Linked DNA regions of Caenorhabditis elegans. The protein of the gene in region 1 interacts with the protein of each later gene in a pairwise test. Each region holds a gene or a part of one and is shown on either strand. Other genes may lie near its edges.

Region 1 (5,261 bases):
ATTTTATCATTTTCTTTAAAATTTAAAGTAGAAAGGGAGACATCGTCGGCGCCTTGAAGAAACTTTCCTGTAAAATACTTTGTCTCATTATTCCAAAAAATCAGAAACAACCTCTGTGCAACAACTTCATGGTTTCAACATCAACATCATTGTCGGTGGCGATTCGATCGCGTAGCTGCCCAAGTGTCAAAATAGATTCGTCTTCTCCTTGATTTTCCTCAAGAATGTCGATTGTAGTTTGAACGGATGAACACGACACATTCACCTTCATTTCTGAAAATTGATTTTGAGACAGTTTTAGCAGTGGGAGAAGCCTCCGAGTGTCGATAAATAAGAAATTGGAACAAAATTATTGTTAACTTATTAGAAAATTAAGAAACTTCTAGAAATGACGAGAAGCTTATGCGAAAATCAGTTCCTCCACGAGGTGTACACATCGATTGCAATGGGGCGCACTCGCTCAGAGACTTCAGAGAAAAACGATTCCATAGACAATGAATCACCGTTTTCGTACGATACTGTGAGGGACATTAAATTAGCCCATTTTTGTTTTTAAGTCACAATACGAGAGCACATGATAGTTTTTATATTGGACATGTAAGAAACACAATGTATGAGCAATAAAATAAACAGTGAGTTGGGTGATAACCATCGGTTGAATAATAAGTATGCAATTATTTACAAGAAAATTACTTATGGCTGGAAACTTTTTTCAATCGCTCGAGAATGGCATCGAGTTTGTAAATTGTCTCCTGGTCAATCTGTTTGTAGATTTTGTCCCGATTTTTAACTATTTTGCGAAAATTGTGAATGCACTCTGTTGCTTTTGCAGCTCGCTCTTCAGCTACCACATCGACTCCAATTCGCCGAGTTTTGGTGGATGCAAATCCGATGATTGTGTCCAGTAAACTGTTGGTAATTGATGCAAGAGCCTTCAAGCAAGCCGATCGCTTCCCATAATTGTCGCTCGTGATATTTTCTGAATTACAAAACATTAGAATAAATTTATCAGGAAGCAAAACCAACCCATGATAAATGTTAAACAAGCATGGCACGAGTTGAGACACCAAGAGTTTCTACTATTCAGAATTCTAATGACTGTGGGAGCGAGTTGGTTGTCGTTTGACAATATCTGTTCCATGTTACTTGTGAAACTCTTCATCTTATAAACACGAAGATCTGAAAAGAAAACATAAACTGAAAAATCAAAACTCTGCAAATCCTACTTCTGCTCTCTCGCTTCGCACAAACACCGATTTTATTCACTTCCTCGGTGCATGCGGACCACAACGACGCGTTTGATGACATGACTGACACGGATGATTCTGGGGAGGATTTTGGCAAAGAACTGCTATGTTCTTCACCTCTCGAAACCGGGTTCCGAGACAATTCCTTCTTCGACTCGGAATGCAATGGACGTCTTGAGCGAGTATTTGTGAACTCGGGCAGATCGGCTTTCACAGTTCGAGAACTCCCGATGAAAGTGATGGGAACGTCCTTTTCCGCACCGCGTCTGAAAAAAATATAATCGCTTCAGATACTTTTTTCGTAGAACTCACCGACTCGAAGTAGATCTTGTATTTGGTCTGTTTTCAGCGGATTTCGGAATGTCGTTGAGAGGCTTCCTATTTTTTGCATGTGTTAGTTTTTTCCGGTCGTCAAGCCCTGACATCTGAAAAATTTCAAAATTTCAAATTTAAGAAGAGACAAACATTTTATAATTGGAAAAAAACACAAGATATCAAAATTAGACGAAAGAAAGGAACTAGTAAACAAGAAAAAACCGTTTTCCCGCATAAAAGAAATTCCCGCGTAATTCTTTGAAGTACTATCGTACCCCGCATGAGCGCTGCGGGACCCGAATAACATCTCATATGCGCCTTTAAAGTTTTTAATATAAAGCTGGATTTTTTAATCCTAAGTATTTACTTTTGCCTCATTCCAATGAATTCTTGAAACGATATATTTAATATTTAATTTAGTTCTTATAGTAAATGGCTCCAGTACTTGGTTTGTTGGAAAATGAAGCGAAAGTCAAGTCGATCATCAGAAAGTAAGTCACCAAAAAAAGAAACAGTTTATATTAATTTAATTTCAGCAATAACCTACTCGAAAAAAAGTTTTCGAGCTTTCAAAGACAGTGTAGAGACCTATCAAGAAACCATGCACTCCGTAGGCGATTTTCGTTCTTGGTTGCAAACGAATTACATTTTTTCAGTCGATTCGTGTTGTTCACAAGTCAAACATTCGGCAACAGCCGCAGAAGAAATGTCAGTCAGCGATAAAGATGTGAAAAATCACCAGAAGAAACTTCATTCATTTTTGGCACAGTCTACTGATCAAGGTATCATTTTCCTTTTAACTTTTAATATTTTAGTTTTCGTGTTTCAGTTAACTCCACGATTGATAAAATGGATTTTTTCTGTTCCAAGGGCAATCACTCTCTTCCGATGGAAATGTCAGTGCTTTCGATCACACTTCCATATGAAGCGTGTATTGAAAAATCTGCAAAAAAACACGAAACTATGGTTTTTTCCATTGATGAAGTTTCGAGTGCTGTTCAGCACCTGGAAAATGAAAAAGTCGATGTGGAAAAGCGTCAATCTTCAACAGGCAAACTTATATTTCAAACTGAAAAAGAAATTATGAAGCTAAAAGAAGAGATTCAAGTAAATACAAATCTCGAGTCAAATATTATTCAATTGTCTCTGGAGAAGCTTTCTTCAGTCAAAGACTCTTCTACGAGTGAAAATGTTTATAAAGCGAAACTGGAAGAGGAGGTATTTCTGTTTCATAAAAAAGGATGTAAAATTTATAATTTAGATAAACGAAGCCAGGCAAATATATGAAGACGCATTGAAACAGGATGTGATCAGCCAAGAATCAGCTATGATGACCCAGCAACTAGAATCTCTTAATGAGTTGTGCTCTGACCTCAGTGATCTTAACAAAATTAATCTTACATCTATCGAAAAGTTTCCTGATTGCAATGAGGTATGCGAGCTCTCCGATGAACTGCAAACTCTTGAAAAGTCTGAAGCTGAAAACTCAGAAAGTATAATAAATCTCGAGGCGTCGTTGGAAGATATTAAATATCAGAACAAGAAAGTCCGTAAGAGTTTTGATCAAATAAACCAATTGGAAAACGCATATATCGTTAAAAAAGAGGTTCTGACTCGGAAGAAATCTGCTATCGAGGACGTCAAGCGACAAATTGCTGAAAGCAAAATCACATTAAATAAATTGAAAGTGACTGTCCGTGCTGTGGAACGATCTGACACCCCAGAGAATGTGGAATCAAAGAAAGAAGTATTTATTCATTCAAATTCAGTATATTACAAGTCTTGTTTCAGGAGGCTTTTCGGCGTCTCGTGGCATCTAGCACTGAACTTCCCGGACCAGAGTCATTCCAGCGTGACAATGTTCGAAATGTGGAGAAATCATTGCGTTTTAAGAAGTGGAACCAAAGAACCACGTCGCAGTCGTCGTTCACTTCAGGTAAGATGTTTAATTGTTTTTATACCAATTTGATTACAACCACATGTTTACTTTTTTGAATAACAAAATACGACGCTTTCAAAGAAGTTTGCAAAGTTTTTTTAATAGACTTTGTGTCAAAGAAGAAATAAATTTATAATTATTTATAGTTTTAGATTCAACACGATCTATTGGACCGATTGGTGTGCATTATCCAGGGATAAAACTTATCAACAAAGACGCTGCAACGCCCACTGAAGTTATTCGGAAGATTACATCGGAGCTAAATGAATCTGCTACTTCTGAAGATTCAACATTCGATGACGATACAGGCACAACACAGGATGAGTCTGGATTGAATGCATTCTTTAATTCTCCGGTTAGCAAAGAACAAACTTCAATGCGTCCACAGTTTTCAATGATTGCTCATATGGAGAAGTATGATACAATGCAGGCCAAGAAAAACATGGATAAATTGCCTGATAATGTTCGCCGAGAAAGCGAAATGGAACACATTTCCCATAATTACGGCCGTAATAATAATTTTTACAGTACGAAAAATTCTGATTACTTCAGGTCCCTCTGAAGTTAACCGCCCGGCGAGTGTTTCATCTAAACGCCACGATCCGGCTGCAAGTATATCGGCAACATCGGAAGAGTCGATCCTATCTGGAACCACTCAGGATGAATCTATGCTCAATGATTTCTTCAATCCAACAGGCACCGACGAAAAACTTAACGACGTTGAGTTTTCCATGACTGCGCATGTGGCAGAATTCGATAACAGACAAAAAGCAAAAAGAGCTGCAGAGCAAATTAAGAAGAGTTCTTCAAAAATATCTGGCAAAAAAGAGGAATCAGTTGCAGATGATAAAAGTGGTTCTTGAATTCTGAATAAGCTTGACAATTTGCAACTATTTTCAGGCTCTGGCAACAGCTACGTAGCTGAAAGTGAAGCTGGCTTCTCACAAGGATCTGAGGAAAACGAATCCATGGATGATGAGGTTTGTGTCTCTTAATGGAATATTCATGAAACATTTATTGTTTTCAGGATTTGGTTGCTCCAGATGATGGCGGTCTAGATCAAACGATTTGGGATGGTGACGACTAAAACTTTCTACATTCTAATTTAATTCATACTTTTTTGTGTTCCTCTTATACGGAATTTTCGCGTAATCTTGTACTATTCCATCATGTTCCTATTGTTTGTGATCTGTTATAAGTTATAAATCATTGTTCTTTAATATTTCAATATTATTGCTGTCACTGTCAAAATGCTAATTAAATTTATCTTTAAAAATCAATTTAAATGTTTAAGTCCTGTAAATATTTATTAAACCGTCGAATTTCAGGAAAAATAACTGTTATAAAATTTATTTTACATGTTAACATGCATGTTAGAAAAGAAGAATTTTACATGTCAACATGCATGTTAGAAAAGAAGAGTACTTGAGAAATTACAAAAGTTTGTATGTATTTACTTGTTTCAATAGTTTTCATTTGTCTGTGGTCGTTGTCTCGCTGAAAAAGACGGGCGGTGCGAGAAAAAGGGTTTTATTTGGACACTAAACTCAATAAAGATACACTTTTTTGATTTCGCTCGCTAAAACTTTTCAATTTCAATACTTCACTTTTGCATCATTTTTCGTGCAGCTCTCTGCGTCTCCGCTTTCAAACACTTCTATTTTGGGTCAATTCTGTTTTTTTTCTTGTTCAGTTTCGAATCAATAGTTTAGCGCGGCTCCAAACATCTAGAAAATCCTTCAAGAAGAGAGCACGAGAAA
Region 2 (6,516 bases), on another chromosome or scaffold:
TTTTTTCAGCTGGAGTCTGCAGATCACGATGATTTTGTGTCGAGCATGAAAAATACATTTATTTACGGGAAATTCATAAAACGTTCGCCTTCGGAAAGCTACGTCCCCTCGGCGACCGTTTTTAAGACACTGACTTTCAGCACAATGCCGCCCCAAGTCAAATTGTAAGAACTACCAAATTTAGGTTTTTAACAATATTTTTCGTTTTAGCAAAAAATCGTCTCGACCGGTTCCACCTGGAAAAAGTCTTGGAGAAGTCGTCTCTAAAATGGCGGCAAGTCAGCCGCAGTACACTGTGCGATCTGCTCCGTACTCAAAGGGTCGAGCGGTAAGATTTTGATAAATGCATTAAGTTACTTGTCATGTCAGAAGGTACTACTACATATTGTATTATCACTATTAGACTTGCTCACCGATTGCTTCACGCTGACAGCTAATATCTCGATTTTCTTTAATTTTATCAAAACATTTTAACTGCGTAATTACGTAAAATAATTTTCAACATATTGACATTGTACTATTTTTGGTACAATTTAAGACAACCGAGATATAAGCTAGCAGGTCTAATAGGACAAGTTTCAGTAGTTACCAAGATTTAAAATACTTCCAAATTCGGATTGTCCAGCATATTTTGTGTGTTTTTTCTTTAGAATACAATAATTACTAATGGGGCTAATCAAGTAATGTCGCGAAATGTAACAAAATGTATTGAAATATACATATGTCCACATTTGTTTTATAAAAAAAAATTTAAAGGGGCGATAATACAATTTACTGTAAAAACTAATAAATAAATCAGATCATCAAAATCCCGACTTCAATTCGTAACCGCAACTACACACTTCCACCTGCAGGCCCACTTCCGCTGCGTCGCACTTTGATTACTACCAACTACACCATGTATCCAGTCAGAAACGCTGTTCAGTGATAATCTCATTTTGAAACTTACCCCCGATTTAATATAGCTACATGTCATTAATCATTTTCTTTTGTCTCACTTAAGTTTTCTGTTACTTTTTTTCTACTTTTAACTTATGCCTCAAGTCACTTCCAAATCAAAACCACGACCTTTTCAAACTCTCTGTTGTTTTTTTTCTGATCCGTGTAATATTATTTATTGTTTCTTTCTTTTTTACTTTTGCAGATTCTCCTAATTGAAAACTTTCAATTGTCATTTTTTTACGGTCCGTTTTAGGAATCGTGTTCTATTTAAATAATTGCCAAAAATAAATCTTTTCAGGTCAATCAATTCGTTTCAATTCTATTACTATATCTTTTGCAAGTGTAAAAATAAAACCAAATAAAATTATTTTTGCTTCCCTGCATTGCAATATAAATAGTGGTGTTCATCGAGAAACGCGCACGCTAACCGGCCACTGGCGTGTTTTTCGTGTACTAGTCACCACAGAAAACTGCAGAGACGCAGAATAACTCCGTATGTTTTTACTGGGCATAACTGTTTCCAATTCCCTGATTTTATTGTTTTCTTTTTTAATGCTTGGTTTAAGTTTAAAATTTTTATTATTCTACTTAATCAATGTGATTATATAAATTTTCAATTTCAGATTTGAATGTCTGCAATCAGGAAGATAATCCAGCGGCAACTTTTCCAGAAAGACGATGAAAGAATTCAAGCAATAGTCAATGTCTCAAAGTTGGATGGAAAAAAGAAGAAAAACCAGACACTACTATGTTTAGCAGGTAAGAATTCTTGGAATTGTCCTGTATAAAAATCGATAACTTGCAGTCACAATCGAGCACCCCATCGCCGTCCGTTTATACTTTGTGAAAGGGGAGAAAGATGATACATTCAAAAAGAAGGACAGGTTCAATTTGAGAGAAGTCAGAGAAATCGACGGAATAAATCCGAAAAAAGTGAGTATTTGAAAATTATATGGATTCACGCAATTTATACGATATATGTAGTGAGCAAATGTGAGCGTAACGAAGAACATAACGCAAAAAATGTGAAGCTTCTCGAATAACTGAGGATTTTCAAGTTTTACGAACACTAATGTTTGATGGAGTTTATCAACCTAAAATAGCTAAAAATTCGCCATTTTGCCGCAACTTTTCAACGATCTTTATCAATTGTAAAAATTGCAATTAGCTAAAGTTAGGTGAGAAGTTGTTGAAAGAATAGTTATTGTACACTAAATTTGTCGAAAAGATGATGCAAATTGCAGGAATTATTTTGACAAAATGGCTTATCAATTAGTTAAATTCGCATTTACTTCAAGTTTTTTTGGGTTTAAAAAAAATTGAGAATTTTATTCAACTGACAAACATTAAAAAAATTCAGGCATCACCAGAGTTCCACATCACTATCGGTGATCATCAATATGTGATTTTGGCTGGTTCCGCTGAGGAAAAGGACGAGTTCATTCGAGAACTCTACAAGGTATCCAACTATAATACTTTCAACTTTTTTACTGAAAATTTCGTATTTTAGTTGTCATGCCAATACCTTCCAGTCCAGATGCCAGATTTCTGCAATTTCTCTCTACCGCAACTTGAATCAGAAACCTCCATTATACCCATTGAGCTTCCTGAGCATGATATGGCGATGCAAAGTGATTATCAGCCAATATCCAACAAGGAGGACGCAGACTTTCGAAAGTTGATTGCGCGAGCTAATTTGACTATTGGTGAAGCACATATTTTTGCCGAAATGCTGACGGAGCAATTGCAATCTCTCGATGGAGCCAACATCAACTCTATGATGGACAGTGAGAATTCCGTAAACCAGTTGCTTTCGAGTATTGATGCAGCATTGACCGGTGTTGAGTCGGTCGAAAAAGAGCTTGATCGTTGTGATGACATTTTGGCGGTACTACATTGTAAAGGAATTTATTGAAATTTTAATCAACTATTTTCAGTTTGTGAGGAACAGTATCGAATTGATCGAAGAGAAAGATAGTTTATCGGTGGTTGAAAGAAAGAACAAGCAACGTCTCAACGAGGAAATCGTTTCATTTGTCAATTCGTTGCAGGCTGTTACTGATTCCCACATTGAGACTCTGAAACAAGCTAACTTCAGTAACCCAGAAAGGTAGAGTGAACAACTTAGAGTTTTCAAGTAATATTATGATACTTCAGTGTTCAAAGATGCACGGACGCTGCACGCGCTGTTGCACAATTCTGGCACGGGAGGATTTCTAAGCCAATGCTTCAAATGAAAGCCTATCAGGACAGAAATGATGAGCTTACCGCAGTGGATGTCTTTGTCGATAGGCTCATGTCTCACCTCTCTGCACTGTTCTCGAATTTGGTAAGTTTCAATGAACGTGTGCTTGCTTGCTCGAGGACCCCCTAAATTGTAGAAGTATTAGAGAATTCCGGAGGTCACGCTCTCGCTAAAGGACCCTCTGAATTTTTTGAAAATTTCAACCAAAATTCTCGAATTTCAGATATTTTACAGCGCATGCGAAGCTTTTTTTACATCACATACCATAATTTCACAATAGATTCACGTTAAAATGTGGAGTTTTTTCAATACATCTATTATAAATTTTAGAAGAATCCTGTAGCAAGCGCGCGCACTGTATAAAATCATTTTCAACGCGTGTTTTTTTTTCAGAACGACTTATCTTTGGATCATGAGTGGCATGAACTGTGTATTCCAAAACAGTCTCAACGCTTTCGCGCCCTTTCTCCACTCTCTGATCTTATCAACTGGCTGAAAACGAACCGTCCAAAGGCTTGCAATTTAGTCTTGCAAAAGTATATCGACAGCACGAATCTACTTTACAAACGTCTATTTGACAATTTCTTTGAGACACTGATCAACAAAGTTCCAAAAGCTAACAGTTCTGAAAAGAAGTCAAGTATGTTTGCTAATATTTGCAGCAAAAAATAATCATCTGATTTCAGAAGCAAATGAATCTGCAAACATTTCACTTCGTTCTGACAACCAGAGTTTCCTGAGCACCTCCAGTGAAATTGATACTGAAGTCTTACCGCAACTCATCGAAACGGTGCTGGCAGAACTGAGCGCTGTGATTGACGCAGAGCAAAAGTTCGTTGTCCGCTTCTTCCACATCAACTCGGAGCTGTTGGCTCAGTTCGATACGACTTCAACTGGAAGCGGTGATAGCTCAAGTCTCGGAGGACGTAGTATGGAGAAACATATGAACGAGCAAGTGAGACACGTTATGGGCAACTTGTTTGACTCGCTCAATATTCATCTTGATAGTTTCTGTCGGGCGGTTTGTAGGCACAATCCTAGGTGAGAAAAGGTACACGTACATATTATTTTAAATTCCTACACATTTTAGCAATGTTCTCCTTTTGTTTGTAATCATGTCGAAGAAAGTGCTTCTACCACAAGACCCAAGCTCCTATTTTTCGATCACATTTGGAAGTTTAGTTGTTCTGATAAAACGCCAGTTTGATGCATTTATTGTGAGTTCCATTTATATGTACTGTAATTGCAATAATCTTCTCTTCCAGCAAATGGAATGTTCCCAGTACTCGGAAGTTCGCATTGCTAAAAAGACTAGAATCGGAATTCTCCCATCAATTTTTCGCTTTGCAAACTTTGTGAGACGTGCTGAAATTATCTTTGAAAATGCCGAGAGAAGAACTGACTTGGAGAAGGCATATTTCAATCTTTGCCGGGCGGTTTGTGACGGGATACAAAAAGCTGCCGCCAATCAATACAGCAAGTCTCCGTCGTCTGTAGTCAAGTTTGAAAATTACCACGAGCTCTATTGTAAGTGTTCTAGGAAACAATAAAGTGTGATGGTGATAAATGTTTCAGTGACTTTGTCGGAGCTAAAAATCTCATGTTTGGATCAACAACGAAAAGATGCGAAAGCGCTCAAGGAAGAACATATTGATGCGTACGTAAAAGAGTTTATGGGTCGTCCACTCAAAGAGATTCAGGTGATATATAAATATGGAAATTTATGTTTCAATACTGTGCTGCCAATGCTTGAAAAAAAACTTGACTATTATGCTTTAAACTAGTTTTTTCTTTCTAATTTTGGCTTGTCATTCTACAACATTTGTAAAAAAAGGCACTCTACCATAGTTTAAAGTTGGAGTACCAAAATTTGAGGCTTTGCTATTTTAGACCCAACAATTCAGCGCATATACGCCCAATAAAAGACCAACAAATTTATTAAAGAGTGATCAATAAATAAAAATTAAGTTCCAGACGCTGCGACACCGAGAAGTTGTAAAAATTGTGATTTTAGCTGCAAAACCTTTTTTCCGACTTTGAACCTCCATAACTTTTTTTGAGGAATTTTCAAAACATCTCATTCGAATTTCGGTACTCCACCTTTAAACAAAAATCTCCCAAAACTATCGATATGTATTCCAAAAATTTCAGACGTTCTTCGACAATGTCAACAACTTTATCGAAACGCGTGGAATTCGTCCTGATGAAATCTCGTATCAACAACAATTCAGTCGCATTGAGCTTAAAAAGGTTGAATTTCTAGTTAATCATCAAAATCGCCATTTCATAAATTTTCCAGGTAATTTCACAACATCCGGGAAAAGAAGTGAAAAAAGGACTCGAGCAACTGTACAAGAAAATTGAGAAGAACCTGGTTGCCAATTCATCACTTTTGCAAGTTGTATGGAGAGATATGCAAGAGCAATTTGTCAAGCAAATTGCGGAATACAACAAACTGATTCTCACTTGTTACCCAGGCTCGAAGATTGAGCTCGAAGTTTCCACTGACACTGTACTTCAGTTCTTCTCAGAAATTGCTCAACAACACTAATATTACGACGAATAATTTTATTGAATTTTGTTGTTTTAATTCATTTAAAATTTAGTTTTAATTTATCAGAACTCTAATACTTACTGAACCATGCTTTGTAATATATTTATTTATCTATTCTGTAATAGGTGAACTTCGTTACATTACTGATGTCTGTAATATAAATTTACGGGTGTTCCCCATTCGAAAATAGTAGTAATGCTTGCTTTTTTGAAAAATAAATGTCTTGCTTGGTGACTTTTATTTCACGTATTTTCAAATGCTCACAAAAATTTCACGGAACTGACTTCTTGGTTACACATTTGTAGAAATTTTGACTGAATGTTTGCATTGAACTGGTCAACTTAAGAATCTGACATGCAAATGGTGTGTTTTCTGAAGAACACACTTTGGCAACTTTTAATAAAAAAGGGGTGTAACACGATTTAAATCTAATAAAAACAACTTCTATAATGTTATTCCGTTTATATCTCACTTTATGTTTTACATTTTACTCTTATATACATTTTTTGACTCATTTATACAGGGTGGTCCATAATTATGGACCACCCTGTACTTATATCTTATTTAAAACTATTTCATGTAAGAATTGTTTTAACAGCGCATTTTTTTTCATCACTCGATTTAAAGGTAAAATTGATAGGCCGCAATCTATTTTGGAAAACTTCAGAACAAAATTTAACATTTTAAGAGGTAACTGTGAAGGTTTATAAGAGAATTATAAACCGATCTAACCACTAAACATGGTAACGTAGAAAAAGTAAAATTAGGGGAGGGG

The links. Proteins that work in one complex are often made in the same cells at the same time.
Region 2: the proteins of syp-6 (region 1) and sec-3 interact in a two-hybrid assay, tested with the Caenorhabditis elegans proteins (one large-scale study listed by BioGRID).

What each region holds. Positions count from the first base shown.
Region 1 is NC_003279.8:6,564,179-6,569,439, forward strand, and holds syp-6 (Thyroid receptor-interacting protein 11), read left to right. Parts: upstream 1-1,977; 5' UTR 1,978-1,994; coding exon 1,995-2,053; intron 2,054-2,098; coding exon 2,099-2,172; intron 2,173-2,218; coding exon 2,219-2,344; intron 2,345-2,391; coding exon 2,392-2,780; intron 2,781-2,823; coding exon 2,824-3,309; intron 3,310-3,353; coding exon 3,354-3,498; intron 3,499-3,647; coding exon 3,648-4,010; intron 4,011-4,053; coding exon 4,054-4,356; intron 4,357-4,401; coding exon 4,402-4,481; intron 4,482-4,528; coding exon 4,529-4,588; 3' UTR 4,589-4,715; downstream 4,716-5,261. Other genes in the region: bag-1 (BAG family molecular chaperone regulator 1), read right to left, coding at 1-67, 112-271; mei-2 (Meiotic spindle formation protein 2), read right to left, coding at 690-979, 1,027-1,179, 1,227-1,513, 1,560-1,672.
Region 2 is NC_003284.9:3,094,893-3,101,408, reverse strand, and holds sec-3 (Exocyst complex component 1), read left to right. Parts: upstream 1-1,556; 5' UTR 1,557-1,571; coding exon 1,572-1,701; intron 1,702-1,747; coding exon 1,748-1,875; intron 1,876-2,302; coding exon 2,303-2,401; intron 2,402-2,452; coding exon 2,453-2,830; intron 2,831-2,879; coding exon 2,880-3,052; intron 3,053-3,099; coding exon 3,100-3,271; intron 3,272-3,345; exon of another isoform or gene 3,346-3,481; intron 3,482-3,580; coding exon 3,581-3,827; intron 3,828-3,873; coding exon 3,874-4,228; intron 4,229-4,277; coding exon 4,278-4,404; intron 4,405-4,452; coding exon 4,453-4,714; intron 4,715-4,762; coding exon 4,763-4,887; intron 4,888-5,338; coding exon 5,339-5,437; intron 5,438-5,486; coding exon 5,487-5,738; 3' UTR 5,739-5,981; downstream 5,982-6,516. Other genes in the region: ztf-13 (C2H2-type domain-containing protein), read left to right, coding at 10-164, 211-328, 800-928.